Linked DNA regions of Struthio camelus. The protein of the gene in region 1 interacts with the protein of each later gene in a biochemical or structural test. Links are inferred from orthologs where the notes say so. Each region holds a gene or a part of one and is shown in the gene's direction. Other genes may lie near its edges. The genes, in order: NHERF2, TBC1D10A, SGK1 and PRKCA.

Region 1 (6,836 bases):
CAGACTTTGCTGTGCAAACTTTAAAAATCCCGGCCTCTCCCCCGCAGGGAGGCTGCCGGTCAAGCCCACTTTCTGTAATTGTGAAACTTTGCACAGCGTATGTATTTTGCATTAGCTAGGGAATATTGTCAGGCCTAGAGCAAGCAGCGGTCGGCGTACAGGTGTAATTCTATGTAAGTGCTTAATAAAGTGCAGTGAATGAATTATAAATGAACCTGTTTGCTTTGGAGCAGATGTCAAATGAAGAGAGCTGCACATTCTTCCAAGCCAATAAGCATGCAGAGCCGGGAAACTTCCTCAGCTTTCAAGTTAGCCCCATTAAGACTTAAATATTTGCCCAAATCAAAACGCATAGAAATCTAAATGGAAAAAACACCCCTCACTTCTGCAGTATCTGTTGAATCTAATCATGACTCTGGTATATCGGTAAGTGCAGAAGCCCTGATGGGCTCTCTGCTTTTTCTCTGCGCGGCTGCAGAGTCCAGCCGACGCTGCTTAGGAAACGGCAAGCTCTTCTCGCGAATTAAAGGGGTTTTGTGCTGCGCGAGGATGCATATTCGCACAACATATTTCCACATTCTTCCCAGCTCCCGTACATGACACTGGATGCTTTCCCATCGACCGCAGCGCAAAACACAGCGTGTCTCGTCAAGCCACGTCCATGCCAAAGCACGGCTTGCAAAGCCCAGGAGACCGCGTCGACGCTTGGAAGCAGAGGCGCAAAACCGCCGGGCTGAACCAGCGCTCGGCCGCGTCGTCCCCGTGCCGCGCAGAGGAGGAGCGGTTAGAGCAGCAAGGAGGGAGGGCGAGTCACCCCGCGGCGCGTCGGGCGCCTCCGAGCGGGAGCAGCCTGGGAAACGCTGCCCCGCTGACGGGCGCAGTGCAACGCGCGGGGAGGAAGGCTCGCACAAGTCTTCCTCGGGGCAGTTTGCAGAGCCGGCAGCAAGGCTGGGCTGCGTCCTCTTGCCTGGCAGGTGACGCCCAGCACCGAGCAGGCTGCTGGCCCTGCTTAATTTCTCTGTCGTTAATAGATGTTTCCTGGGGGGAAAGATGCCTTTTGAGGATGACAAGGACAGAAGGGAAAGCAGCAAATTCAGACAAGACTTGAGAAAGAGCTTCTGCTTTAGAAAATAAGCATTTTAGGAAAATTCAAAAATTTCATTTTCACGTTTTTGGAATGGTATTTTTCCATGTTTTTATTTTGCAGGTTACCAACACTTTTTTAAAGAATTGTTCAAACGGGTTAAAACCGTTCTGATTGACCACCCCAAAGATTTTCTCCCTTGTGGTTTTTGTTTTTGCACTGAATAAAAAGAAAAAAAGTTTTCGTTCAAACAAACTGGAAACAATTCCTTCTCTTCTCCCCTTCCCTCCAGCTTTTCAGTTTGCCCAGTGAGCGGAAAAATCAATTATTCGCACTCACCTCGGCTGATAAAAAGGCTGCACGACTCCGCGGAGAAGCTCGGGGGGTCCTCATGGTACACGGCGATAATCGCCGCATTTCCCGGCTCTCTGGCCTCCGTTCGTGTCGCCCGGCGGAGGCGGCCGGCGGCCTCCCCCGGCGCCTCCGCTCCCGGCCGAAACCTCCCGGCAAGGGGCGGCGAGGCAGCGCCAGGGCTGACCCCGCAGCCGGGCGCTGAAATCGCTCCTGCCTGGTGGTCCTATTGCCCTCAGCGAAGGCCACCGAGCGCTCGCGGTGACCATCTCGCTGGTCCCAGCGATACCCGCTGTTGTGCCGTCTCCTTACGTGCGAAGTCCGTACGGAGCACAGGGCATCTGGCTGGTCACTCTTGACGGAGGTACGTGATGCCATTCACTCCAGGACAGCACCTTCCCTCTAAGACACTTAGCAAGCATCTTCTCGATTCAAACATCTTTCAGACCAAGAGTTACTTCATGTACAGCTTCAGTGGAAATATTTTTTTTTAATAGACCGCAAATTAAAAAGCAAATCAACGTTCATCTCTAGAGTATTTTATTTGCAGCCTCAAGTTGGCTGTTGCATTTGCTTCAGCTCTACAGAAATCTGCCTGGAGAGCAGCTGGGGAGGGAGCAGCGCCACGGAGTAAAGCTAGACACGCTGTGACAGAGGAGCAGGACGAGCCGCTCCGGCTGGGCCGGCCGGTCGGCGCAGCGCCTCTCCTCCGGCTCGTTTCTGCCTTGTGAGCGGTTTCAAGGAAACGCCGATCAGGGACGTACAAGGGCGAGGAGGGGAACCTGTGCGTCCCACCAACACCAGCTCGCGCCATGCTGCAGCCCGGCCGGCGCCTGTCAGGCGCGCTGGGGACGGAGCAGGAGGCTGTCCGGGCTATAGCAGGGCCTGTCGCTGCATCTCCAACCGAAACGCTGGACCCGCATGCTGAGGAACGCCATCCGCCCCGGCCGGAGCGTATGGAGGACACGAAGCGTTCGGTGGAAGCTATGTAGGTATTGGGTGAGGAGATCTAGCCACGGCCCCTGTTGACAAGGAGCCCAGGATCCTAGTGGGAACCTCTCCCACTCCGGAGACATGGAGAGAAATGGGGTCCTGGGCACCCCGAGCATCTCCCCGCTGTGTGCCTCGGGCATCCCGGGCGGCCCCGCTCCGTGCACCCCGAGCATCTCCCCGCCATGTGCCCCGGGCATCCCGGGCGGCCCCGCTCCGTGCACCCCGAGCATCTCCCCGCCATGTGCCCCGGGCATCCCGGGCGGCCCCGCTCCGTGCACCCCGAGCATCTCCCCGCCATGTGTCCCGGGCACCCCGGGCGGCCCCGCTCCGTGCACCCCGAGCATCTCCCCGCCGTGCGCCCCGGGCACCCCGGGTGGCCCCGCTCCGTGCACCCCGAGCATCTCCCCGCCATGTGCCCCGGGCATCCCGGGCGGCCCCGCTCCGTGCACCCCGAGCATCTCCCCACCGTGCGCCCCGGGCATCCCGGGCGGCCCTGCTCCGTGCACCCCGAGCATCTCCCCGCTGTGTGCCCCGGGCATCCCGGGCGGCCCCGCTCCGTGCACCCCGAGCATCTCCCCACCGTGCGCCCCGGGCATCCCGGGCGGCCCTGCTCCGTGCACCCCGAGCATCTCCCCGCTGTGTGCCCCGGGCATCCCGGGCGGCCCCGCTCCGTGCACCCCGAGCATCTCCCCACCGTGCGCCCCGGGCACCCCGGGCGGCCCCGCTCCGTGCACCCCGAGCATCTCCCCGCCGTGTGCCCCGGGCACCCCGGGCGGCCCCGCTCCGTGCACCCCGAGCATCTCCCCACCGTGCGCCCCGGGCATCCCGGGCGGCCCTGCTCCGTGCACCCCGAGCATCTCCCCGCCGTGCGCCCCGGGCATCCCGGGCGGCCCCGCTCCGTGCACCCCGGGCATCTCCCCGCCATGTGTCCCGGGCATCCCGGGCGGCCCCGCGACCCCGGCCCGGCCCGGCCCCCCCCGCCTCGTCGCTCGCCCGGCCCCGCCCCCGTCTCCGCCCTCAGCCCCGCCCCCGCCCCTCCGCGGCGCTCCCGGCTCCGCGGGGCAGCGCGCAGCGTGGCCGCGCCTCGCTCCCTCCCCTTAGCCCCGCCTTGGCACTTAGCCCCGCCCCCGTCCCTTAGCCTTCCGCCCCCATACCTGCCTTTAGCCCCGCCCCATCCCGTTGCCCCGCCCCCTCCCCGCCCCGGCGCTGCGCTCCCGGCTCCGCGGGGCAGCGCGCAGCGTGGCCGCGCCTCGCCCCCAGCCCTGAGCCCCGCCCCCGAGGTTTAGTCCCGCCCCCGGGTCTTAGCCCCGCCCCCACTCTTAGCCCCGCCCCCTGGCCTTAGCCCCGCCCCGGGCTGGGGGCGGGGCAGCGCGCAGCAGGGCCGCCCCCAGCCGCGCCCACCGCCCCGCGCCCGCCGCCGCCGCCGCCGCCGCCGCCGCCGCCGCACATAAAAGGGCCGCGCGGCCGCCGCCGCCGCCCGCTCCGCTCCGCGCCCGGCCATGGCCAAGGACCAGCTGAAGCCGCGGCTGTGCCACATGCTGAAGGGGGAGAGCGGCTACGGCTTCCACCTGCACGGCGAGAAGGGCAAGAGCGGGCAGTTCATCCGCAAGGTGGAGCCGGGCTCGCCGGCCGAGGCGGCGGGGCTGCGCGCCGGCGACCGCGTCGTCGCCGTCAACGGGCTCAACGTGGAGCAGGAGACGCACCACCAGGTGGGGAGCGGACCCGGACCCGGACCGCGGCGGCGCGGGCCCCGTTAAGTTAGTTAACATCCTGCTCCCGGGCCGGAGCTGCTGCCGCAGCATCCCCGGGACGGCCGGGGGCGAGCGTGGCCAAGGCCGGGCTGGGGGAGCTGCTGGGGCCTCTCTTCCTCCTCCTCCTCCTGGCCTCGAGCAAGCGCTGCTCCTGCAGACACCCCCGGAGCTGCCCCGGGATGGACCCTGGAGTGGGCAAGGCCTTGCTGCTCTGGTGCAGCTGTTTTGGGCTGAAGCTGATGATATTTGCATCTTTGCTCTGCCTTTTTTTGTTTTGCTTTTTTTTTTTTTCCAAAGCAGAATGTGTTTTCTGGGTGTTTGGCTCTTGTCCCAGAGGCCTGCTGGGCAGCAGGGCTGTGCGCCTCTGGAGCGGCCCTTGCCTGAGGGCTTGGTCCCCAGGGGCTCCAGAGGTGCCATTGGTCCTTGTCATCCTGCTGGAGGAGCAGTGCCGGACGGGGGTGCCTGTCCCTCGGCTCGGAGGAGCGCGGGCCTCCTGCTGCAGCCCCTCGGCCGCGCGGGGCCGTGCTTTGGCAGCGACGGGGCTGATGTGCTCTCGGCAGAGGTGGAGGTTGCAGATAAGCCCAACCCTTCCTGGGTCTGAGTATCTCCACCACTGTGGGGTGTGCGCGGTGCTGATAGGGTTGGGGGGAAGCCCTCGGTCCACCCCGGGAGCCGTTGCACGGATGGGCGAGTTGCACGCTGCTGGCTCGCTCTGTGCGAGAGCGAGCGACGGAGCGGCGCCTGGTGAAGCCGCCTCACCAGGCAGCTGGTGTTTGGCAAGGGTGGAAAGACGCCGGCCGGCTCAGTTACGCTGGTGCCGCTGGTGCAGTCTGGGGTGACAGTCTGTGCGGATGGAGGTGCGGGAACGGTGCTGCCGGGAGCAGAGCTGGGCTCGAGGATGCTGGCGCCGCTCCTGCTGCACCTGGTTTGGAGCGACTTGTGGCTGGTGTGCCCGCACTGCTCCGTGCCCCGCTCAGCGGCAGCTCACCCACCAGGCCTTGGCCAGCGCTTGCCTGGTCCCTCTCTTCCAGGGTTTGCTGCCATGAGGCAGCAGTGGGTTGGAAAGCGTTTGGGGACCCGTGGGTGCCTCCCTGCCCTGGTGCCGATGCACCGTCTGCTGGCAGAGCAGTTCGTGCCGTGCCAGGCTGGAGCACTAGCAACTGAGCTGGGGGTCTCCAAGCAGGAGAGCGCTTTGCTTCATGCCGTGGCTTTGCACGGCGTTACCCAGCGCTCAGCTTCCCCATAGTGGGGTCAATGCAGGGACAGCATCCGAAATCCCTGACCCTTGAGTTCCCATGCTGGCAGTGGGTCAGCTGCTCCCTCCAGGAGCTGGCGTGGTCTGTGTGACCCTGTTCTCAGCTGGTGACTTTGCCGCATGAGCGCCTGGAGGACCCAGCTGCATGGTTTGGGGGCAGAGCGGGAGGGACGCAGTGGCGCAGCACCCAGCTGCCTTTCTCCTGCGTGCACCCCCGAGGCGCTGCCTGGTGGCACCTCTCCTGCCGCCCCGTGCCTGCTCCCTCGCAGGAGAAATGGCCTCGCAATGGTGTTGCCTGGCCCTTGTCGGCAGCGTAGGCGGCTGCTGCTGTGTGCAAACGGAGCTGAAAAGGAGCAGATGGATTTTCTGGGCTTCGGTGGAATAGCATCTCGTCAGGTCGGTTATGGATGGGAGCCCTGGGCAAGCTGCCGTCCGGTACGGTGCAGGGAGATGGTTTTCGGCATTCAGTGCAGTCGTTTATTCAGGACAAGCAGCCTTGTCTGCGGCCTATAAATCTCGCCTTGGTTTTTTCATTTGCAGATACGGAGTCTGTTGACCTTGAACGGAGCATGCAGGGGAGTAAATAACTGCTAACTAATTGCACATTAGGCTCGTTTGTCACTTCTAACCTTGGCGATGGTAACGTGTCTGGCTGGCGTGACCTAGATCAGAGCAGGAGCCCTGTAAGGAAACGCAGCCCAGCTTTGTGGGGTGTCCTGGGCCACCCGGAGCGCCGTGGCTCCGGGGTCCGCTTGCTGGGGCGGATGCGCGCGCCACAAGCTGTGATGCTGGCAGGAAGGGGGTTGTGTTTCGTCTGGGATCCGCGGCAGGCTCTGCCTGTCGAGGAAGGTCGGACAGCCCCTGCGTGGGGCGGCTGATGCCGGGATCCCCCCGTGGGTGAGCGGGAGGGGAGTGAGTGCCATGCAGGGGCCAGCATCTGTCCCCCCAGCCACCTCTCCTCCTCCTCCTCTGCAGGATGAAGGCTCCTGCAGGAGGAAGGTGCTGTTCAGCCTGTTGGAGCCTCTCCACCGAGGCTGCTGGCAGGGAGTCGTGGCAGCGGTTTCGCTGGCCTTTGCCCTGCTCCTATGTATGTCCTTAACCTGCCCCATTCCCATTGCCCTGGCTCAGCCCCATGGTTTTGCCTCCCAGCCCTTCTGGGGCTGTTGCCCCTCGTGCGCGGGGCGAGCCGGGGCAGGGAGCGACTCGCAGGGTGGGAAAGCTCTCGCTTCCCTGTGCGTGAACCGCAGGCTCGCCCCTTCCCGCCGCGCTGGGCTGACACCGCGAGCCCCTTTCAGAGCATCTGCCAGCTACAAAAACCATAGAAAACGGAGGCTGTGCGTGGACAATGGTCCCCATTCAGCCGAGCCGGGAGCTGGGGAGTAGCAAGGACGGGCCCAGCTCC
Region 2 (7,329 bases), on another chromosome or scaffold:
CCTAATATGTAAGTGCAGCAGGCTTTTAGTGATCAATGCTTTGCTAGAATGCTGGTGTCCGCTTTTGCTATCTGTCCATTGAATTCCCTAATGAAGTGGCATTGAGGCCATGCCCAGCTTAGATTAGCTCCATCTTTGTTTGTAGAAGGGGTTTATACTGATCAAGAATATCATCTGACTACAGTGTTTGCCACTTCATTTAATCTTTTTCTAATTGAAAACTTTCTTCTCGATATACTTAATACACTCCTTATTCTTTCTCTGTCTCTGACCTATCTGCAAGAGTCTCTTGCACTGACCCTGACTTGGAATTTTATCCTCCCTCAGTATGAGTGCACACTGCCATTCGTCATGATAAAGATGATCTGGGACTGTGCATGCTAAACAACTTCATGATTATTCTGTACAGTCTGTGATTTGTTTTAATAAACACCCATCTTAGTGTGGGATTCTGTCTATAACAACTCTAGTTCCTTGGGTTTTATGTTTTTTGTTTTTTTTTTTTTAAAGATTGAAATGTGCCTGGCTTTAAAGTGTTCAAATTTTAGATGCGTTGTGGGGAATTTTTTTTTTGTAGTTGGCTTATAGAAAAAGCTTTTCCTTCATAGGAAAAGCTGTAAGAAAGGGTTTTTGTTAAACTTCTCTAAGACTACACAGTTATTCCCATATTGTAATACAGGTGTATATATAATTGCTGTTTATGTCCATGTATGAGGTGACAGATTATTCTGAATTTAAATCTAACTAGTGAGAATTTCCTTGTAAAATGCATTACATACTTTGTGCTTCTATCATCTCTTGGTCACGGAGAGCATTAGCTTCTAAAAATAGATTATTTTTGTACCGTCAGTCATAGCTGTGTCACGGTTTGATGCAAACATAACACAGAACATGGTGAAACAAAAAATAGCCATTAAAATCTATGTGTAAATAAGTGGTCAAGGAAAATGCTGTTGTCTGTTGTTGCCCAGCAGCGGCCACGTGACTCTAGTACCTCTGCTCTCCTTTTAGGATAATCCAAAGCTATGATTTTTGGGGTATAGACATTAGCTTTTAACATCCTGTTATTTTGTGCTTAGGAGAGAGAGAGAGAGATTCAACATCCTACACAGGACAACATCCTACAGTCCCCTTTGTGCCCTCATCTTTGAGGGTAGGTGGGAGAGAGGAAATCATAGTGGTGTGGGAAAGGTGTTTGGCCCAGGCCCAACCCAGGTGGCTGGCGGTCCTCCCAGCTCATGGAAGCCAGCTGCTGTTTTTGACAGATGCCGGTGTCGGATGCCCACGTGTCTGAGAACAGCACAGCGCTTAGTCACAAAAGCGCAGCCTGCTCTGGTGCTGTAGGATATTGAATTAACAGCTTCTTGCAGCTGTGGGCAGGGTGTTTGGGTGTATTGTGGATACAGAGGTGCTCCTGCCCTGCAGGAAGGCGTGCTAATTACTTTTGGCTTGTAAAAACTAGACAATAGTTAGGTACAATCTCCTGGAGACAACAACACTCGGTGGCATAGCTTGGAGTCATTGCAGTGGAGGCAGCAGTTTGCTAAAACAGCATGTGCATAGCTAGCTAGCAAGTGGTGTTTTCCAGAGCTGATCAGCTCTGCAAGGAAGAGAGAGCTCTGAAATGGAGAAGTGATGTTTCTACATCCTGTGTAAGACACCAAGCGTGATGGGGCTGCATTTAAGGTCATCCAGCTGTTGTTCTGGGCTGCACCCATGCAGTATGAACTGCCATAGTGCTTGATGCAAGGAGCATCATCTGCGCTCCCTTATCAGACATTTATTTCCTAGGTGTCTCTGGATGAACGCTGTGCTGGTGCTTAGGTGACGTGCTCGGTCTTCAACAAAGTCAGGCTACTTCTACAAGCGTCTGACTACATCCTGCACGGGGCCGAGTGCCCAGCCCAGCATTCCTGCAGGAGAACTTCCTGCACTGGCCTCCAAGTGAGAGCACTAGAAATAACTTGCGTGGAGACTTGCCAACAGCCAGCCCGTTTCTATCTAAATATTGCAGATGAATGTTAAAACAAGACTGCGTGTGTGTGTATCCAGTACAAAACAACTATTATCAGGGCCTTCCACTTCAGTGGGGTGGATCTGCAAAGCTTAGACTGCCTGAAAAAAATCTGAAAATAGGCCCATAAAGCCAGCACCTGAATTAACCTATCAGTCTCCTTGGCCCTTCGGACTTGATGTCTTGCAGGTTTGTGAGGGGTCTTGACTCTATTAAAGCCCCTCTGCTTTGCTGTTCGTGGGAGAAAGTCATGCTTTGTGTTACTGCCACAATAAGTTTAGCCTTCAGCATGGGGTCATAATTTTATCAGAGGGTGATAAGGGTCTGGACACAGGGAAGGAGCTCTAAGGCTGCCTCCTCGCTGCAAAACTGCCAGTGGAAAGTTGCATCCATTTTGACCTGTACTGGACGAAAGACCCAGTGCTGACACTGAAGTCTGCTTTGTGCTGGGCCCTGCTAGATCCTTGTGACTAGCCGGAGGAGTTTTACTTGTGTGAGGTAGAGACGAGAAAGCTCCGCTAGATTTCAGCGTGCTCCTTGGGTTTGTGCTTCAGGCCACTAAGAGACTCGCAGATAGCGGCAGCTCGTTTGCAGAGACCTGGGATCTGTGGGCTTCACTGGCTGCCGGTTCACTCCTGCTGTCCAGCTGAGATGTGAGGGAGATGCTTCTGCTGGTGACCCTGCTCGCGGTGTTGCCCTGCTGGCAGTTGAGCTGTTGTGTGCCTGGTACCCTGCTTCCTCCCCTCCCTCTCCAGGGAGTCCTGGTACAAGCTGCAGTTGTAATATGAGAGATTTTTCAAGGCTTGATGCAAAGGTTGATCTCGTGGGAGCAGAGCGGAGGAGAGGTAACCAAAAGGGTTTCTCTAGAGAAATGGGCAGGTCTGTTTTACGCTGCACTGGTGTAGGCCAAGCTGGGGGACAGTTTGTGGTTGTGTGCTGGAAATCACAACTACAGCATGCTTTTAAAGGCAAACGCACGTGTAGTTTCCTTTTAAAGTATGTTTTTTGTGAGCCTGTTGCCTTTTAACTGCAGTACCCAGCCCTACAACCAGACCGACTCTCACAGCTTGAGCTCTGATAATGTGAAACAGCTCTCTGTGTCTATATGACTTGCCACTGAAGCCTGACCATAGCAGATGAGGAGTTGCTGGTTGTATCTGGTGCCCTAGGAGAGCATGAGGAGAGGCAGAAGATCACACAGGTGGTGGAGACTAAATTGATGGCTTCTTTAAGTCTTCTGTCACCAGCTGGCGCTTCTGTGATGGCTTTGCCATCTGACAGCCTGGGCTGCAGAGCTGCTCCCCTCTGAAATGATCTTGTGAAATGGTCCCGAAGCTGAGGGCGCCTGCGCTGCCCCATGGAGCCCTCGGTGCCTGGCTGGGCCCGGGGCAGAGGTGAGCCTCGGGGCGGACGCTGCCCAGAAAGAGCTGCTGGAGCTCCAGGAGGATGTGAAATAGGCTCCTTTGGGGGCTGGAGGGGCAGGAAATCCACTGCAGGGTCAGAGAGAGAGGGACTACGGTGCGGCCCGTTCCCTCGCTGGCTCTTCAGCACCAAGACAACCCCACGCGTCTGCAAAAGCAGCTGAAATCAAAGCAGAAGAGGCAGATGCGTTGCCTCGCCGGCCACAGCACAACCGGAGGAGGAAATGGGAGCTGCCAGCGGGCACTGGAGCCGCCCCAACTTCAAAAACAACGGGGCGCTTCCCTCCCGGCCGTTTCCACGTTGCGGGCTGCGGTGCTGCCGTGGCCCATGTGCTTCCCTCCCGCGGCGTGGGGGAGGCGGAGCGGGCCGGCGCTCCTGCGTGGCCCGAGACCAGACTGCCGTGGGCCGGGCGGCGGCGGCGGCAGCTTCCCTGCACAGCGAGGGAAAAGGCAGACGAGCCTTTTTGAGTCTCGGCGGCTCCTGCCCGCGCGGCGCCGCCCAACAGGGGCCGGGGCTGCCGGCCCGCCGGGCCAGAGCGGCGCCTCGGGGCCCCTCGGCCGGCGCTTCCGGCGCGGCCGCCGCGCTGGGCCCCGATGGCGGCGGCGCAGCCCCCGCCCCCGCGCTGACTGACGGCGTCTCTCACGCTGACGGACAGCTCCCGCCCGGCGGCTCGCCCAATCACCGCCCGGCGTGAGCCGGCCCGGCCTCTCCCCGCGGCCGCCGGTTGGCGAGAGGGGGAGGCCCGGCCCCGCCCCCGCGCGGCGCCCAATGGGCCGGCGGGGCAGGGGCGTGGCGGCGCGCGGTTGGGCCGTGGCGGCGGCGGGGGCGGGCCGGGCCGAGCCGCCGCCGTGGCCGGGCCGGGCGGCGCGGGGGAGCGGCCGCGCCGCCGCCGCAGCGCCATGGCCAAGAGCCGCGGGGGCGGCGGGCCCGGCTCGCCCGGCAGCCGCCGCGGCCTGGCCGGCACCCGCGAGAGCCTGGCGGCCGAGCCGGGCGGCGACGAGCTCAGCTCCCTCGGCTCCGACTCCGAGGTCAACGGCGGCGGCCCCGAGGAGCGGCGCGTCGACAAGTTCGGCTTCATCGTGGGCAGCCGCAGCGCCGAGGGGCCGTGAGTGCCGGGGCGGGGGCGGCTCCGCGGGGAGCGGGCGGGCCTGGAGCCGCGGGGCCGCCCGGGGCTCGGCGGCGCCTCCGGCCCCCGCGGCCTGCGGGGCGCCCGGCCCGGCCCCGGCCGCCGGGGAGCGGGCGGCGAGTCCTGCCCCGCTGCCCCGGCCCGGCCCGGCAGCGGCCTGCCTGCCTGCCCCGGGCCCGCGCTGGCGCCTTCCCCGCCGCGCTCGGGGCCGGGCGGCCTCCGCCGGGGGTCGCGTTCCCCGCAGCCGCCGACTGCCTTCGCCTCTGGGCCCTGTTTCACGCGCTCCGGCTCTGCTCGGTGGCCGGGCTCCCGCGCCTGGGCTCCGCGGGGCCGGGGGGAACCTCCCCCCGTGCCTGGGGTAAAACCCTGTCAGCAGGGTGGACGACCCGCAATAAACCTCGGGCTGCTTTTTTTCGTGACTCTCGTATCGGCTCTTAGCGCGCGAGGCTGGCAAGCAGCGCCCGGGAGGAGAGCGGTGCGTGACGCCTCCCTGGCGTGCTGCACCGCGTCCCTGCCCGGCGGCGTCAGCCGGCTCCCCGAAACCGCTGCCTGCAGCGAGGCGGCTGGGGGTGCCGGGGAAGTGCTGCACCTCGAGGAATCCAGAGTTCAGCTGTCAGCCAGCCCAGCATCCCACGCAGACCCGTCTCAAAGCTGGCTTGCAAAACACCGATGCTCCAAGGCCAGCTTTGGCTCGGTGGCACCATAGTGAAAACAAAACAGTCCCTGTGGCCGGAGAGAAGTGAATTTTGGGCTATGTTGAGCCTACAAAGTGTGAATCTTGGAATGCACCAGGATAGGGTGATCTAGAGCTGTTGTTTGTCCCCAGCGCCTCTGTTTAGGCTGCTCCTGCCGACGTTCTGACGTCGCTCGAAGTGACCGAAGCTTGCTGGGCAGTGTTCCTGCCTCGTGCTGTAAATTGTTTAAATTTTCTTGGGGGAGTCACAGAAGCAGGACGGTGCAGGGTCCTCTGCCTTTCCCCAGCCTCCTGCGCTCTGGCGCCGGCGACTGTCTGTGGGCTCTCCGCTGCTCGGAGCTGGGACGTCCTGCGGCGTTGCTTGCGCCCACAGCGGAGCGTGAGGCTGGAGGAGCGACGCTCTGGGTCCACGTGGACGGCTTTCCTGCTGCACCAGAGCAGCAACGGGAGTTGCAACGGGAAAAAAGGCAGCAGGGGAAGTTGGGAGAGCCCCTAACGCTGTTCCAGCTTCTCCCGTGTCCCCTGCCGGCTGACTGGGAGGAGAGAAGAAGGGAAACACGCAGGGGGCTGGAGCAGTTTCAAGGAGAGGCTAGAAAGCAGCGCTCGCCTTGGGCGGGGGGAGGCGTGAGGGAGGAATTGCTGAGCGCCGTAAGTAACGCCAAGGCCTGCTCGCTCCCCTTCCACTCGGTGATGTCAGTGTCTGGTTACCTTGAGGCCTGTTCTCGTCCAGGCGCTGGATTCCTGCGTATTTTTGGCCGTCGTCTGACAGGGGGAGGCCGTGCCGTTGTTTGGCTCTCCTGGGTGCTGGCTTCCTGCGAGGGGAACTCGTAGGCTGGTCGGGAACATCTGTAGCCGCTGGAAAAGCAAGCAGTTACTGGAGGGGCCATGGCGAGGAGGGGAAGGCGGCTGATCTCCGTTTGCAGAGGAAGCCATCGGAGGAGCCTCCAGAAGGGCTCCCGCCCTCCCCGAGCCCCGCGCAGCTGATGGTGGGAGGAAGCGAGGCTGCTGAAGTCAGCTCTGAGCAGAGCAGCGCCAGGCTTGCTGGCAGCCAGCTGGGAGGCAGGAGGGCTAGTGGCCGTGCTGGCCCCGTGGCTTGTCCCGCAGCACCAGACTCCGCCGCGGAGCTGGGTGGCGCTGGTTGCGAGGCGCGCTGGAATGTGCCCCGGCCGCCCCAGGTCCTGGGGAGCTGGTTTGGCGGCATGTTTTTCTTCCTGGCGATGATGTTTTTGCAGCGACACCCAGAGAAGCGAGGGATCAGACCTTGCTTGGGCAGGTGGCCAAGGTGGCAGCTTGATCCTCTCTAGCTGTGGCCTTACCTAGGACTGGCTCCCCTGCGATTTGCACCTCGCAGGACGCTCCTGGACGCCCTTGTGGCCGATGCGGGGCCGGCGTGACAGCTGATCTGGCCTGGCCCCCAGCCAGCAGGACCTAGCTGTTTACCCCCCCCCCCTCACCCGGTGCGCGTATTCTTAGCGCGTCTGTGAAGTTCCCCGAAGGTCAGAGGGGTGCCGGGGCTGCGCACTGACATGTCTGAGCTCTTGTCCCCGCTCGCCTGCTCTGATGTCGATTGGGCCGCATGCCTCAGTTTCTCCATCTATGAGGAGCAAAGCGTGCATCCCTCCTGAGTGTGGGAAGCCTTCGTAAGCCAGGAGCCTGTGGGTGCTAACTCTGCTCCCCCAGTACTGGTGTCTAGGGAGAAAAGCTGCTGAAATGTTGATTGCTCGGCTGCTGGGCAAGGTGCTTTGCTCTCTCGGTGGGTGTCAAATCCCTCATCTGCCTGTCGGGATCATTCTCGGTTAATTCATTCATGCGCTCGGCACTGCATAAAGTGGGAGGCTCTTTCCTGGATGGAGGAGCTCTCCTGCCCACAGTGACTGTAGCCGGAGGCAGCTGGCTTGCACGTGCCCCTCTGAACGAACCGTCACCTCTCGGGGCGCTTCTGAAGGCGCCGTGGTGGCAGCCCCGTTACTCGGGTGCCCTCTCTGCGGACGAGAGCACAGGAGGATGTCCCCGCTGTCGTCCCAACAGATGCGGGCTGTCACTTGTGTTCGAGTTCCTCCCAATGGCTTTCTC
Region 3 (7,029 bases), on another chromosome or scaffold:
TGTATGTTGGGGCTATTAGTGCATCACTCACTTTCCCATTCCTATTAGTGACCCGGAGAGCAAGGAACAAGCACGGGTGAAGAGCTGGACAAAAACTTGGCTAATAAGGAGCACCCTGCAGTCCATGTGCTCGAGAGCAGGGAGTGACAGTGGAGCACAGAGGTAAACACAAATAGGAGCTGAGCAAAAAGTGCTGCATTTGAGTGGTATAAGGATAAAAAATACATGAGAGTTATCTTAAGAGGGGTGTCCAGACAATAGGTTTTCAAGATAGATGCTGGCAGCTACAGGAGCAACCAGTAGCTTAGGAAAGTGTGATGAACTAGCCTAAGGCAGAGGTGAGATGAAAGCACCAGGTAGACTCAGCTAGTCCTGTTCCTGGAGAAACTAGTTCCTTGTTCCTTGGCGTGCCACCAAGTCGACAAAAGCCTTTGGTGTTTCATGACAGTCACAATAAAGCACTGCTGAGCGATTGGCTTGCTTGGCTCAAATTTTTATTTTCCTACTCAGTTTTTAATGCCTTTTGATTGCAGTTAAATGCAGTGAACATAGAGTTTTATGCTTATTTCAGGTTTAATTATGAAGCCATGCTTTTGGCACCATAATGAAGCAGAATAGTTTTTCTTAGGAAAATCTTTCTGGCTTTAAATCTTTATCTGCTGGTGTAAAAACAGTTGTATGTGGCACCCCTTCTGCTCCTTTCTATGACTTTTACTCTCCTGTGCTAAATGTAAACTTTGCAGCCACTGAGTCGCACCTCTGATATCCTTGGTAAAAAAAGTTAGCACATAAAACCCTTTGAGACCACAGATCCAAAAGCATGACAGCTGAGAAGGATTCTTACCAAAATATCATTATATTGGAGAGGCCAAGAGGGCTCCAAATGATGTAGTGGTAGTGTCCCAGCACATTCCCCTCACAGGATAGCACCTGCCTCAAAAAACAACTTCTGCAGTATTTTAAAACTACCAGGCTGCTTTGAAAACAGTTGTTTCTCTGGTAGAAATATGCTTAGCTTAACTGCATACTTTGTCCAGCTAAAAATAGGCCAAAACCCAAATAGAAATAAATACCAAAAAGACCTGACAGGCATGCCTCCAATCAGGCTTTGGAGGCCAAGGCCCTGGCACCAGGACCGATGAAATATTTTCACAGAGGCAGTTGCCACCACCATCAGTACGCAGGATGCCAGGTTTAAAAGGCTAGAAGGAGAACAGCGTCTCAGCCAGCCATCTGGAAATCTTATGGAGGAGGTAGAGGCAACACAAATGCTTTGTGAAACAGAAGATAGTGCTGAGCCCTCAGGAGAAATAACAGAGGATGAGAGACAGATCAAAGCTGTGGCTGAATAGATCAAAGATCGCAAAAATAAACGTATGTGCACAGCAAGCAGCCTAGTTAGCCTGAATGAAAGCCATTTTTGAATAGTTTCCTTGCGTATCAGATCAGCCGACAAAGCACGTGGTGCTGAGAATAGCCACTGGTAAAAAATTAGACACTCACTGTTATCTACTTCTCTATCTATAAGCACCAGAATACAAACTTGACAGCTCTAAAGCACAGGAAAGGATTAATGAGAGATTTTTCCAATATGGCTAGTGTTCAGGGTGGTGCGGAGGGTGATAAGTTCAGAGCGGCCTGACTGAGACATGCTGAGAATTTCAGATTTTCTGCAAATCCCTCAACGTGCCTTTAGCTGGGCAGTTTTTGGAGTCTGGGCTGAACTGCTGCTTGGCAAAATCCATTAGCTTCAGATAGAGAGGCAGAGTGGAAAATTCCACACTTCCCTCTCTCCTTGGTCCAGTGCATATTTATTAGTTGTACAAAATGGAACAATTCTGACAAGATATTGGCTCTTCAGCCCAGTCCTTTAAAACTTGGAAACTCAGAGTTATGTCTTTTGTGTGACTTGGACCTTGAACTTGCATTTCCCTAAGTGAACACTCAACATTCTGACCTGTGATGGGGTTGTACATTTACCCTGCAGTTTTGACCAGGATTTTCTCCTGGACCTAAGAAGTATTCCTCTATAAAAGTGTTATTGAAACAGCTGCAACTGCTATCATTGAAAAAAGAAGGGGAAAAAGAGAGGAAAGGGAGAGGGAGAGGAAAAGAGAAAGGAGGGAAGGGGAAGAGGAAGGGAAAGTGGAAGGGGAAGGAAAAAGGAAAGGAAAGGATTTTTGATTGAATGACATAGCACTTACTAAAAAATTCTTTCCTCAAGAAATTCCAATTGGCTCTAATAAGAGTGTAGCCAAATTCAGGTGTTTACAGAGAATGAAGACTAGAGGTACAAAAAGGGGAAACACAGGCTTCATGCTAGTGAGTCTGTAAAAAGGCTACAGCCTACAAGCACCTTGACATGGAGTCTCAGCTAGAAGCACAGCTCAGAAGGACCAGGGGGGTTCTCCTAACTATAGCAGCAGGTGTTTCACCTGAGCATGAGGTAGTGCAGAAACCAGTGCTGACACAGGATGTAGAACTTAAGTGTTCTTATATTTCAAGAATCTTGAAAAAAGGACAGAAGGGACAAGAAAGAATAATAGAGCATATTCAAGGACTAGAGAAAATACATTCCACTAAAAAAGGTAAAAGGCTCAGTTTGTTAACCTTACCGAAGAGATGCTTGAGAAGTAAGTGATTTACAGTAGAACAGCTTTTTCAAAGGCGCTAGATTCTCTGTACTACAGGGCTGACTAGTCCCATAGAGAAAGGTTGTACAGCAAGTAATGGCTAGAACGGGAAGCCAGTTCAATCTTAGAAATAAGGTCCTTTTTTTAAACTGAGGTTTATTAATGTGGGATGTAGAATGAGAGGAAGTGAAAAAGTGATGAAGATCTTGCTGCAGAATTTACCTTAATTAAATGATATTTTATTTTTTTGCTAAACACATGTTATTAGATTCACTGGGATTGGTGAAAAATACCTAAATAGAATTTAAAAGACAGAAGGTTAGACAATTTGTCCTCTCAAGATCCTTTTCAGCCTGAATTTTCTGTAATTAGATAGTCCTTGAGTTTTGAGAGTTGTAGTACATCTATGTTTCTTCGGCAGAAAAAGGGCGAAAATATCTGAATAGATTTGTTTATATGTTCTTGCTTTCCATTTATCTGCATCATATATGGCAAATTTCCTATATGGGAACCATTGTTTTCCTTTAAGCTCGTTGAACTTCACAATGAAGCTCCAGTGCTTCTCTGTCTACAACATGCCCTGTCACATAACCCATCCATTGGTCATCGGATGGGTTTTTTTTCCCAAGTACCACATTCTAAATCACTGTGATGAGAACAACTTAAGAAAAAAACATTTTTTAACTGACCTGGGTCTCTTTTTTTTTTACACAAAAACTGTCCAAATATAAAATGTGAGCTATCCTGTCACTCTCCCAAGGGAAACATATTGCCTTTCAGCGCTTCTCTCCCTGAGCCTTCCTCCTATCCTTTGTACGCTTATTTGTGTTCTGCTGCTCTTCCTGTGCATCTCTCTCTCTATCTCTCTCTCTTTCTCTCTCTCTCCTTCTCTCTCTCTCTCTCTCTCTGCTGTTGCTGAACTGCAGCTCCCACCAGCATTTGCACAATCAAAACCAGCTCTCATCTCAAACAGCGGTGAATCACCTCACCTGAAGAAGAACAGCAAACTGAGCTCATTAGCCTGACTGCATATAAAGCATGAGGTACCGGTAGCACCCACCGTACGCAAGGATCTGCCTTTATGTGAGACTCGCTTAGCCTGAGATCTGCTGCCTGTGATTTGAAAGCTGTCACAAGGTTTTTTTAGGAGTGTGTGCATTTAGGGGATGTTTTTTAAGAAGCTAATAGCCTGCTGCAACTGAAAGCTGGAAAAGGCTGCCGCTCGCTGCTGCTGCTGCAGTAGCTGGTGCAGAATGAATGTGTAAAGGATAGCTGCCTGAGCCGAGCCGGTGAGCCTCCCGTCCTACTCTGTCTTCATTAACTGGAGGGATACAGAGGAAAACAGATGCATTAAGCAAGTGCCACACTGGATCTATCACTGTGTACTCTTCACTGTGGAAAATGGTCAACAAAGACATGAATGGATTTCCAGTCAAGAAGTGCTCAGCCTTTCAGTTTTTTAAAAAAAGGGTAAGGTTTTCCTTTAATTCTTTCTTTCCATTTTCTTTTTTTTTTTGTTTGCTTGTTAACGTGCCACAGTAGAGTAAGTCACTGAAGAAGGAGAGTGTTTTAACAACAATCTTCTCCGATAATGAGCCCCCTGAGCTGGCAGTTCTGGCGAACACCAAGGGCACCGGCATCTCAGAAGAGAAGGGGACCTGGGGAGGGGGACGGGGCAGAGGCACCAAACGGCATTACGTAAGCACTCTTTGCTGTGGAACGTGTATCTCAATCACAGCTGACCACAGGGCTTGACGCAATACGACCAGCTATTCAGATTGGGATAATACACTCCAAATCAGAGTGCGGGTTTGTTGCAGCTTGCCTCCCTCTCTCACTCCCTCCTCCACATCCACCTAGGGGTATGACTTCCTCCACACCTTTTCATTCACTTGCCAGAAGCGCAGCGCTACCCACCTCCATTCATCATCTCACAGAGAAAAAAAAAAAAAACCACACAGAACAAAGAGGCATTTGTGAGATCAGCAAAATATTTCACAGCTTGTAATTTGCCTGTAATCACAATTAACGCAGGAGAAAAGAGTGAGAGTAAGGTCCACCTGGATTTGGTTCTGTTTTATGTTCTTTAATTTAGACAGATGTGTCAGGGTTTGGAAAAAATTTGCTGTATGTTGTATTTGACTGCTGATTTCCAGAAGGAAGCATACATGAAACACTCTGCCTCAACACCTTAGCTGAGTCTGCTCTCTGACCGTTTTACAGTGACGATGCTGAACACACTCCATTTAACTTAATCAACAAAGTCATTTCCATGTGACAGCAGGACAGGTATTCTGAATACACCTGGGTATTCCTGGATACCAGAACAGAGAAGCAGAGCATCCTAAAGAGATTGGTAGCAGGGACTCCCCTATGGAAAGGATTTCCTGAATGATTAAAATGACAGCCCTCTCTTTAAACAGACAGGAGTAAGAGCAGATAAGCTGCTCCATTCACTCATTCATTCATTTATCCCATTCATTCTCTCTCTGTGTTACGCCAAGAATATGGTCACTCCATTTAACCCTTCAGGCAAAGAAAGTGAAGCTGACACCAAATGCAGATTTATAAGCCAGGGTCAACCCCTTCTGGCCAACAAAATGCCAAATTTAAGGGCAGACCTGGTAAAACACAAGCAGGGTCAATCAGAGGAAAAAAAATGTGGTCTTTGCTGACATTTGTTGTTGTTTCAGGGGTGGCTGGTGGAAGCTTCAGGTAGAGGTGGAAGCCCAGACACTACTCACACTCAGACTGTAAATACTGTCCTTGACCCAGGCAGCTTCTAATTTAAGTATATTACTTTTGGTACCTGTAATTTTGATACATAGCTCACCAGAAAGCTTTATCTGATTTTCAAAACTACTCAGAGGTTTAAAGACAAATTTGTTCTTAAAGAGGAAACAAAATGACTTGCAATTCCTGCATGAAGTTGTTTATTGGCAGTAGTTTTCTATCTCATTTAGTGCTAAGACAAGTTATCACAGGAAGGCTCCACATCACTTTGTTCTAGAAAATTGGGAAAGTTGTTTTTGTCAAAGCTACGCTGATGATCAGTGATTTTCTCTTTGGAAAAGGCTGTCAAATGTAATTATATTTGAATAAACTAGCATATCAGGACAGTCCTGTGCAGTGGTTCAGGAGACATAGTCATTTTTTAGTTTCTGGGGATTTTTCTGTTATCAGATATTGCATTTTTGCTATGGTGACGAAGATAAATGAAATCAGTGAAATCAATTTAGAGACACAAAGGTAGGAAATTCCCTCCGTATGCATTTTTGTCAATAGATAAATGTGTTCATTGACATTTCAGTTACCCTCATTATCTTCTTCCTAGAAAATCCTCTGTATCCAAATGTTAACCATATTGTTCCTACATCAGTGCTTGCGAAGTGTACAAGCAAGAAAAGCTACACATTCCAGATGTGCTACTAGCTTCCAGTAATGTATCTTGCATTTACTGGACTGGTGACATGCTGCATTTAACTGCTTTAAGAATCGGACAGGATTGTTAAATATAATCCGTTTGGTTCCCTGTCAACGCTCTGGACACTCTATCTGAACAACCACCAAAATCTTGCATCTAGAGAAGCACAGCTACGAGGTTTCTTGATTCAAATCTAGTGTGTGATATTGTTATTTATTTGACTATTTGCCTCACAACAACACCAGGGCACCATAACGAACACCAGCAACCAGCTGGACACATCCTGTATCAATAGTGAGAGGCAGATCTTGCACTGAGGAGCTTAATAGGTATGATTTCGGGGATGAGATATTGTTATCCTAATTTTCCTGACAGGTTACTGAAACCCAGAGAAGCAGATTCATTGTGTGTGTACAGAATAGGCTTCCCCCAAACCACTCACCATGTCTAGGATGAAGCAGGGGATGGAAACCCAGTCTCTCAACTTAAAATTCCCTGTGTTTGTCTCCTAAAAAGGCTCACATTTCTAGCACAAATGATTTCTAGTTTGATTCTAAAAATCCACATCAATCTGGATTAGAACACCCCAGTTTTCAGGGAATGTTATTTTTCCACTAGATTAGATTTGTTTGGAAGAAAGAACCAGCTTAATCTTCATTGTTTTTGTTTTCCATAGAGCCTTATGTTTTCCTTAAATTGCAATCATCTTTGTTGCTCTGGCCAAGAGTGCAGAAAGGACTGGCAGAGCTCTGTGGATTTAGGCTAGGCTGAAAGTGCATTCAAACATTGACTTGAATCTCAGAACCAGATTTTTTTTAAAGCCTGGTTTATTCTCTGATGACAAAGCACTGACTCTCTGGGATGCTGCCTGCTTTGTCAGATGATTCAGAGTATGGGCTAATCACGTCCGGAGGTCCGAGGTTAGGAAGGAAAGGCTGAAATTAAAAGGCAACACATCTGATTGATAGAAAT
Region 4 (7,852 bases), on another chromosome or scaffold:
AGAGAAGAGAATCACGTTGATACAGAGAGGCACAGATGTACAAACCCAGATGTACGCATATAGATATAAAAAGACACAGAAAGATACAGATACCAGTGTTGATATAGAAAAATATAGAATATTTCTACCTCCTTACCACACAGATACAAGCACGCACATACATACAAACACACACACAAATACATCCTACCTATTTCCAAATTTTGGAAACATTTAGGGTTCGTTGTCGCCAAAGCATCCAGATGAGAACAATAAACAGGATTTTGCTGATGAATGTGTAATAGGATCTGGAAAATATATAGGAGTAGTGGACCTTTTCTCATCTGTGCTGGACATGACATAGCAATCAAACTTGTGAAAAACTGAACTCTATAACTGATTTCAAAGAAAGAGAGAAACAAACAAACGTGTCGAAAAAGAAATCTGGAAAACCTTGCCTCTGAAATTTGACTCTGAAGTCTGGATAGTCAGAGAAGCTGATTTTGATTCAATTATGGTTAATAATTCCACAATACTCGCCAACAGAAATGTCTCATAAACGGACTGTGTGGAAATTCCTTTGAAAGATGAGACCAGATGAAGCAAATAATTTGTAGACATCTGGTTTGCAGTGATTGACTCACTCCCTAACAGGGGTTAGGGAAACAGCTACTTGTTCTGGTACTCTCTAGAAAAGGAAGTGGTTGTGATTTGCTTTGAAATGTCAGGAGAAATTAGGTTGTGAACTTCCTTATAGGTCTTAGAGCAGGAACTGATCCCTGTTTGCTGAATATTTCTTACAATCAGGAAATAACAAAATAGAGAGCTACAACTGCCAAAGAAGGAGACAGAATTCTCCTTGGCTTTGTCTTTGAGTTGATCTAGCGCAGCGCTGAGCTGATCCAACAGGTGAGTAAAGAGAGAAACCATTTCATAGGCAGCAAAGTGACTCTAAGCAATTAGAAACCTCTTTCACAATGGACACAGATGCTTGTACCTGCAGACCTAGGAAGGCATTGACACAAATGCAGAAAGGACTTGAGACAGTTGTGCTTACTACAGCAATAATCTGAGCTCAGAGAAAAACTCGCACACCCTCCAATGGGAACTTCCAGCAGACATGAACTCTGTTGGGCACTATCCAAATATTCACATGGGAGTAAATTTGTTACCAGAAGACCCCATAAAATGATGCTTTGGAGTCAGGAATTCTGGAGCTACTTGCCAGGAGATTGGAAAAGCTGATACTCTGATTTAATAACCACGTATATGCCCGAACACAAACAACGATAATGCTGACTCCTCATCCAGATGGCTGAATCAGAAACAAATTGCAAACACTATCCGAAGCACAAGAGCAAGGCACGGGTTGCTGCTGGGAATGTGTGCGTTCAGGAAGAGATAGCAGACTTCTTCCAATAACTTGCAGGAGCATGAGTTCCTGTATCACCCACAGAGCTTGAATGTAGAGTAGTAAAAATGAATGTCCAGGCAATTAAAAGCCTCCCAGGAAGAGGATGCTGATTATTAGGACAGCATATACTAAAAGCATCTGGTAGGTATGGACCGTAGTATCCCTCCATACTGTCACTGTAAGAGCATCCTGATCAAAGTGACTAATCTTGAAATTTCAAATTGAAATACTATCTACAAGATGGGGAAAAAAGCACTGTAAGTGCTGTGTACGCACTGTGTTAAGTGGTATGTATATAAAATACAATAATAAGGGAAGTTGTATGTTATGTGCAATAAGGAAAAGTTATGTTTTAACTCTTTTGGGGGGCATTTTGCTGTGCACAGATAAAGGATTTTTTTATCTTGCCTGATATGTTTATTCACAATGTAAAAATCATTATTATGGTAGGAGATAAAATGATTGCTTTACAAAGGCAGAGTAAAGTGATCCTAAGGTTACCTTGTGGTGTCAGTACTGGTGTGGTTTGGCTTTTCCTTGGGATAATCAGTAGGTGTTGGAAGCAGGAGGCTGAGACACTAGCAGGTGCTGCAGCGAATGAATCTTGACCAGAGACGGTCTCAGGAAAGAAAATGGAATACAAAATGATTCTGCAGGGTTGTGACAGTCTAAACAACGATAACAAAAAGCAGGGATAAGGGATAGTTCAGAAGAACCGCAGAGTTCTGATGCAAATAAATGATATTGTTGGGTACCAAATTTCAATCCAACATTTTATGGAAGAGTTGTCTGATGAAATGCCACAGACATATCAGTTCAGCCAGGCTGCATCCAGAAACCCAGGATTTAGAATTACGTACAAGATAACATGTGTAACAAGTTATTTCTGCTCTGTGGTAAATGTCCGTGTGCACAGTTTTTTCCATCAGCAAGTAAGACTTAATTTGAATTAATTAGCCTTCTTTCATTCTTGCGAAACAAAATGTATTGCATGTGCCTACAGAGGCAGACTTATGAGTATGTACATATATTGTGGTGGAGAAACTTTTATTATGCACCCATTCCACATATGTGAAAATTTGTAGCTGTGAGAATAAAATTTATAAACGAAATTATGAAACACGTGTATCATGTTTCGATGTATGCACAGCTGTGCTTTATGCTCTGTGTTTTTCTGAATGTATGGAGACGCTGCATGAATGGCTGTATGAGATGATGTTTGCATGCTGTATGCAGACAATGTTTCTAGGTCCAGGGATCTGTGAACATTTTATTTGTCATGTGAATAAAAGAAGTTGAATGGTTTTGTTATGTTATAGAACACTTGGGAATATGTTGCATGAAAACATGGTAGAAGTCTTTTGCGTATGTGGTGGATGCGTTAATTAGTGAAAAAGACTTGCTGTGTGTTTACTTTTTTTGTTGAGGATATTCATATCGTATGATCAATTAAATATATATGGCACATTGCAGCGGGGGCAAGACACCGAGGCCCCTCGTCTCATGTATTTGTTGTGCTATCTGGTGTGTATTGTGCAATGTACATTTGTTTAGCAAGGCCTCGCACAGCATTTGCATGCACACCGTTGGGTTTGTGGGTTGCAGGAAGGGGAAAGGAGAGCATCTGGGTGACACCTTTGTTTGCGGTGGTGGTGCAGCAACGTATACCTGGGCAGGTGCCAGAAGCACATGCTGTGCAAGTAGCCACTACCAGCTGGGTCCGGGCTCACCGCACATCCGGTGGGGATGGCGGCAGCACGTGGCACCTAACAGCCGCCGGGACGAGCGAAGGTGGAAGGAAGGCAGCCGCGAGCGCGCACTGCTGGGCTGGGACCGCTGCTGCAGGGCTGTGGGGTGCGGGGTGCCCCTGGGTGGCACCCTGGAGTGGGTGGCTTGGAGTGGTGCACCGTGGTGGTGCCCCTGGTGTGGGCGCCCCATGGCGATGCCCCTGGCACGGACACCCCACGGCGATGCCCCCAGAGTGGGCACCCCACCACGATGCCCCCAGGGTGGGCGCCGCATGGTGGTGTGCCTGGCATGGGCACCCCATGGTGGTGCCCCTGGAGTGGGTGCCATTGTGGTGCCTCCAGTGTGGGCACCCCACGGCGATGCCCCTGGGGTGGGTGCCCGGCCTGCGGCTGTGCAGCCCCAGGAGAGCTGCCCTGTGCTGGGGGCTCTGCTGGGGCCCCCCGGGGTGGCAGTTCCCACGGCCAGGGCTGAGGAAATTGTGTGTGTGTATAGGTGTGTGTGCGTGAGAGAGAGAGAGAAGGGAGTCAGGTACTGGGGGGGGGGGGGTGCGCGCACGTCCGTGTGTGTGTGTGTGTGTGAGAGAGAGAGAGAAAGAGAGAGAGAGAGAGAGAAGGGAGCTGGTTGCTGTGTGTGTGTGTGTGTGTGTGTGTGTGTGTGTGTGTGTGTGTGTGTGTGTGTGTGTGTGTGTGTGTGTGTGTGTGTGTGTGTGTGTGTGTGTGTGTGAAGGGAGCTGTTTGCCGCATGTGTCTGTGTGTGTGAAGGGAGCCAGCTGCCGTTTCTGTGTGTGTGCGAGTGTCAAGGGAGACGGCTGTCGTGTGTGTGCACCCATGTGCCTGTGAAGGGAGCTGGCTGCCGTGTCTGTGTGCGCATGTGTGAAGGGTGCTGCCTGCCGTGTGTGTGTGTGTGTGTGAGGCAGTGTGTGTGTGAGGCGGTGTGTGTGTGTGTGTGTGAGGCGGTGCGTGTGTGAGGCGGTTTGTGTGTGTGAGGCAGTGTGTGTGTCTGGGTGTGTGTGTGAGGCGGTGTGTGTGAGGCAGTGTGTGTGTCCGTGTGTGTGTGTGAGGTGGTGTGTGTGAGGTGGTGTGTGTGTATGAGGCCGGTGTGTGTGAGGTGGTGCGTGTGTCCCGGTGTGTGTGAGGCGGTGTGTGTGTGGCGGTGTGTGTGTATGAGGTGGGTGGGTGGGTGTGGCGCGGTGCGTGTGTCCGTGTGTGTGCGCGAGGTGGTGTGTGTGAGGCGGTGTGTGTGTCTGTGTGTGTGTGTGAGGTGGTGTGTGTGAGGTGGTGTGCGTGTGTGAGGCAGTGCGTGTGTCCGGGTGCATGTGTCCGGGTGTGTGTGTGAGGTGGTGTGTGTGTGAGGTGGTGTGTGTGAGGCGGTGTGTGTGTGTGAGGCGGTGTGTGTGTCCGGGTGTGTGTGTGAGGTGGTGTGTGTGAGGCAGTGTGTGTGTGTGAGGCGGTGTGTGTGTCCGGGTGTGTGTGTGAGGCGGTGTGTGTGTCCGGGTGTGTGTGTGTGTCCGGGTGTGTGTGTGAGGCGGTGTGTGTGTGAGGCGGTGTGTGTGTGAGGCGGGGGCCGGCTGACGAGAGGCAGCAGGTGCTGCCGGCCCGGCCCAGCCCAACCCACCCCCCCACCCCAGTGCGCGCGCTCCCCCCGGGGGGGGGGCGGCCCCGGCGGCCGCAGCCGAGCCGGCCCCGCCCGCCCCTGGGGGGCTCGGTCACCTCGCGGGCGGAGCGGCCGGCGCGGGCCCGCGCCCGGGATCCTCCTCCCGCTCCCTACGCGCCGCTCCGACGTCAGGCGCGGGAGCGGGAGGCAGCGCCCAGCGCCGCCGTTGCCAGAGACTCGGCGGCTGCCGGACGGGGCGGACGTCGGGGCGGCGACTCCCGGCGCGGCCCGTCTGCCGGCAGGGGAGTGGAGAGGAGGGTGCTATGGCCGACGTGTTCCCGGGCTCCGAGCCCGGCGCGGCCCCGGACGCGGCGCGCCGCTTCGCTCGCAAGGGGGCCCTGAGGCAGAAGAACGTGCACGAGGTGAAGGAGCACAAATTCATCGCGCGCTTCTTCAAGCAGCCCACCTTCTGCAGCCACTGCACCGACTTCATCTGGTGAGACGCCCCGCCGCGGCCCGCGCCCCCCGGCCCGCCGCGGCCTGCCGCCGCGCCCCCCCCCCCCCCGGCCCGCCGGGCTCGCCCCCAGCACCTGCGTCGCCCCCCGCCGGCTGCCTCCTTCCGCAGCCGTCGCGCTGGAGGGGCCGGTTTCCCCCCGGGGTCGGGCAGGTGAGTCCCCCCGGGGGGGCTCGGCGCTGTTGTCCCGAGCCCGGGGCAGGCAGCGGCGCTTCCCGGCGGGCTGCCCGCCGCGGCAGGCGAAGCCGCTCATCACCCGCCCCGCCTTCAGCCCCTCTCGGCCCCGCCGCTGGGGCCAGGCCCGGGGTGGGGGGGGGGGTGGGGGACCCGCCGTGCTGTGTGGTTCCCCCCCCCCTCGGCCGCTGCTCCCTGGCACAACTTCGCAGCCCTGCCTTTAACTTTGCTGTCTGTTTATTTCCTCTCGCTGCCAATGGAGGGCAGGAAGATTGGGAGCGCGCGGTGGCACTGCGGCTGGGTCCTCGCGCTTAGGAAAGAGATCTTATTTTGGGGGTTTTGTTTTTCTTTTTTTTTTTTTTTTCCTCCAGAGAATGGTTTTTGCTAGGGAGGAAGGGAGCGAGGCTCTTCCTCCCAACACCCTCCTTACTGAGCTCTCGGGGGTGGGGAGAAGAAAACGTGCCTCTGGGATCCCGCCGTGCCCTCTCCTGGGCAGGATTGCGGCTCCGCTGCAGGCCCAGCCGCGCTGCTGCTGCTCCGGCGCGCTTGTCTCTGCGTGGTTCAGCTCTGTCTGAAACCCTCCCTCTCCCGTGGCGGGAGCGGGCGCGCGAAGTCTGCTCACACATGTCCCGTGCCCTCGGCTAGGTGAGGCAGCACCGGCGGGTGGGCAGGCGTGTGCCCTTGGGTCCGGGTGAATGTTTTGTGCCTTCAGCTAGCACGCGACAGAAACAACTTGTGCTTCCTTTCCTCTTACCTAGGAAGAGATGAGGCTTGGTCTTCAGCGTTGCTCTGCTCCTGAAGTTGCCGAGGGTTTCCTTGCAGGTTTCCTTGCCAAAATTGAGACCGGGCGGTTCATTTTAGCCAACTTTGTAGAAAGAGCAGAGGGGGATGCGCCCAGCTGGCTCTGTGTTTTTGGGCAGGTGTCTTGGTCTTGTCACAAGTGTTTATGTCCCTGAGTGCAGACGTTGGCCTACCTCCTTGTGTTTTCCTCAGTTTGCGGGCCGGAGAATCTGGGGCTGCTCCAGAAATGATTAAGATACGTTTGCAGAGTAAAGGGTTTGAAGGAAAGGAAAGGAAGGAAATCTGAGATGGGTGGACTGCAGGAGAAGCAAGCCAACTTCTTTGAGAGCGTGTGTTTTGTTTTGTTTTTAAGTTTTTCTATTTGAAAGAAAGTAGTCACAAAGTTGGGTATTGTAAAAGTGGGAGACCTTTGGAAACTGCTTCAAAATTATCCCGAAACAGGGAATTGGGAGGTGTGAAAGAATGCTGCAGGGCTATTGTCGGCCCATGTTTGTGCAGATGACTAACACGATTTAAAAAAAAAAAAAAGGGCAAAATACTGTAATAAGAAAAGGCACCTGATCACAGGATGCATTTAAAAGTGAAAGGATATCCTGTAGTTGACAGGTGGCAAGAGTAGCTGTAGTCTTTTGTTCTTTTTTGCTAGTAAGTCTAGGAAGCTCTTAACATTCTTCAAAACAGCATGTGGCAGCTCCAAAACTTTTGTTTCATTTCCTCATTTGAAGTTAGATGAAGCATTCTTTATTCCCTCAGATGCTTATTCAAGATATGTCTATGTTCAAAACGACGCGTGGCTATTAGCATGCCTTGTAAGGTATAAAGAATAGTAAATACAGCCTTTCAACACACTGTAATCTCTGTGCGAATAGGCTTCTTTTTTGTTTTTAGCTTATACTTGACCGGGTAATGTTTACCGAAATAATTTACTACCTCTTTATTTTCTTCAACAACTTTCACTTATCTGCTTCATTTCTGAAACGTGGTGGGTTTTTTTCTTTTTTTTGAGATATTTTACTCAAAATGCATTGCAACTGACTAGAGCATGGAATAGACTAGCCAGACCACAGCTGCTTAGTGTATGAATTTAGCTCAAATGCTGAACAATGGCTATGCTTTCAGTAGATATTAGAGGGATGTTCTTTACAAATAAGTCCATTTGAAAGGACAGAAAACTATCTAAAGCCTATTTCATGTTCTTAGTTCTGCTGTCAGCTTTCGTGGTTTTACGCTCTCATTTGCACACTTTCAGTACATGCTTTTTACCTTTGTGAACACAAGACATGAGAACAATAAAATAACATTATGGTATAGTCACATATGCTGCCGAGTAAACAAACAGTTTTATATTTATTTTGGATATGTTAGTTTAGACCTACTTATAACGACAGTAGGTAGAGACTTTTGAGCAGAAGTTTACAAAAATAATCAAAGTTGTATAATGTGAGTTTTCATCTGAATTAACTGTGTACCAAAGATTTTGTCCATTTTCTATTTTAAAAAAGAGCAAAAAAAAAAGAAAAGAAAAATGGATAAATGTTTATTACATTGCCACAAAGTCCATAATTCAATTTCATGTTTTTAAGTGTGTACAGCCTACTGGCTGGCTTCTACACATAGTTGGTTTAGGT

What was found.
Region 2: the proteins of NHERF2 (region 1) and TBC1D10A form a complex in vitro, tested with the Homo sapiens proteins (2 studies listed by IntAct, with this or other methods). The link is inferred for Struthio camelus from reciprocal best matches to the Homo sapiens genes NHERF2 and TBC1D10A.
Region 3: the proteins of NHERF2 (region 1) and SGK1 form a complex in vitro, tested with the Homo sapiens proteins (2 studies listed by BioGRID, with this or other methods). The link is inferred for Struthio camelus from reciprocal best matches to the Homo sapiens genes NHERF2 and SGK1.
Region 4: the proteins of NHERF2 (region 1) and PRKCA form a complex in vitro, tested with the Homo sapiens proteins (2 studies listed by BioGRID and IntAct, with this or other methods). The link is inferred for Struthio camelus from reciprocal best matches to the Homo sapiens genes NHERF2 and PRKCA.

Annotation. Positions count from the first base shown.
Region 1 is NC_090956.1:2,049,830-2,056,665, reverse strand, and holds the start of NHERF2 (Na(+)/H(+) exchange regulatory cofactor NHE-RF2), read left to right. Parts: upstream 1-3,830; 5' UTR 3,831-3,927; coding exon 3,928-4,137; intron 4,138-6,836.
Region 2 is NC_090958.1:4,806,379-4,813,707, forward strand, and holds the start of TBC1D10A (TBC1 domain family member 10A), read left to right. Parts: upstream 1-4,326; 5' UTR 4,327-4,335; coding exon 4,336-4,541; intron 4,542-7,329.
Region 3 is NC_090944.1:72,810,342-72,817,370, reverse strand, and holds the start of SGK1 (serine/threonine-protein kinase Sgk1), read left to right. Parts: upstream 1-4,019; 5' UTR 4,020-4,034; coding exon 4,035-4,103; intron 4,104-7,029. UniProt on the Homo sapiens protein: Serine/threonine-protein kinase which is involved in the regulation of a wide variety of ion channels, membrane transporters, cellular enzymes, transcription factors, neuronal excitability, cell growth, proliferation, survival, migration and apoptosis.
Region 4 is NC_090960.1:3,950,111-3,957,962, forward strand, and holds the start of PRKCA (protein kinase C alpha type), read left to right. Parts: upstream 1-4,842; 5' UTR 4,843-5,058; coding exon 5,059-5,231; intron 5,232-7,852. UniProt on the Homo sapiens protein: Calcium-activated, phospholipid- and diacylglycerol (DAG)-dependent serine/threonine-protein kinase that is involved in positive and negative regulation of cell proliferation, apoptosis, differentiation, migration and adhesion, tumorigenesis, cardiac hypertrophy, angiogenesis, platelet function and inflammation, by directly phosphorylating targets such as RAF1, BCL2, CSPG4, TNNT2/CTNT, or activating signaling cascade involving MAPK1/3 (ERK1/2) and RAP1GAP.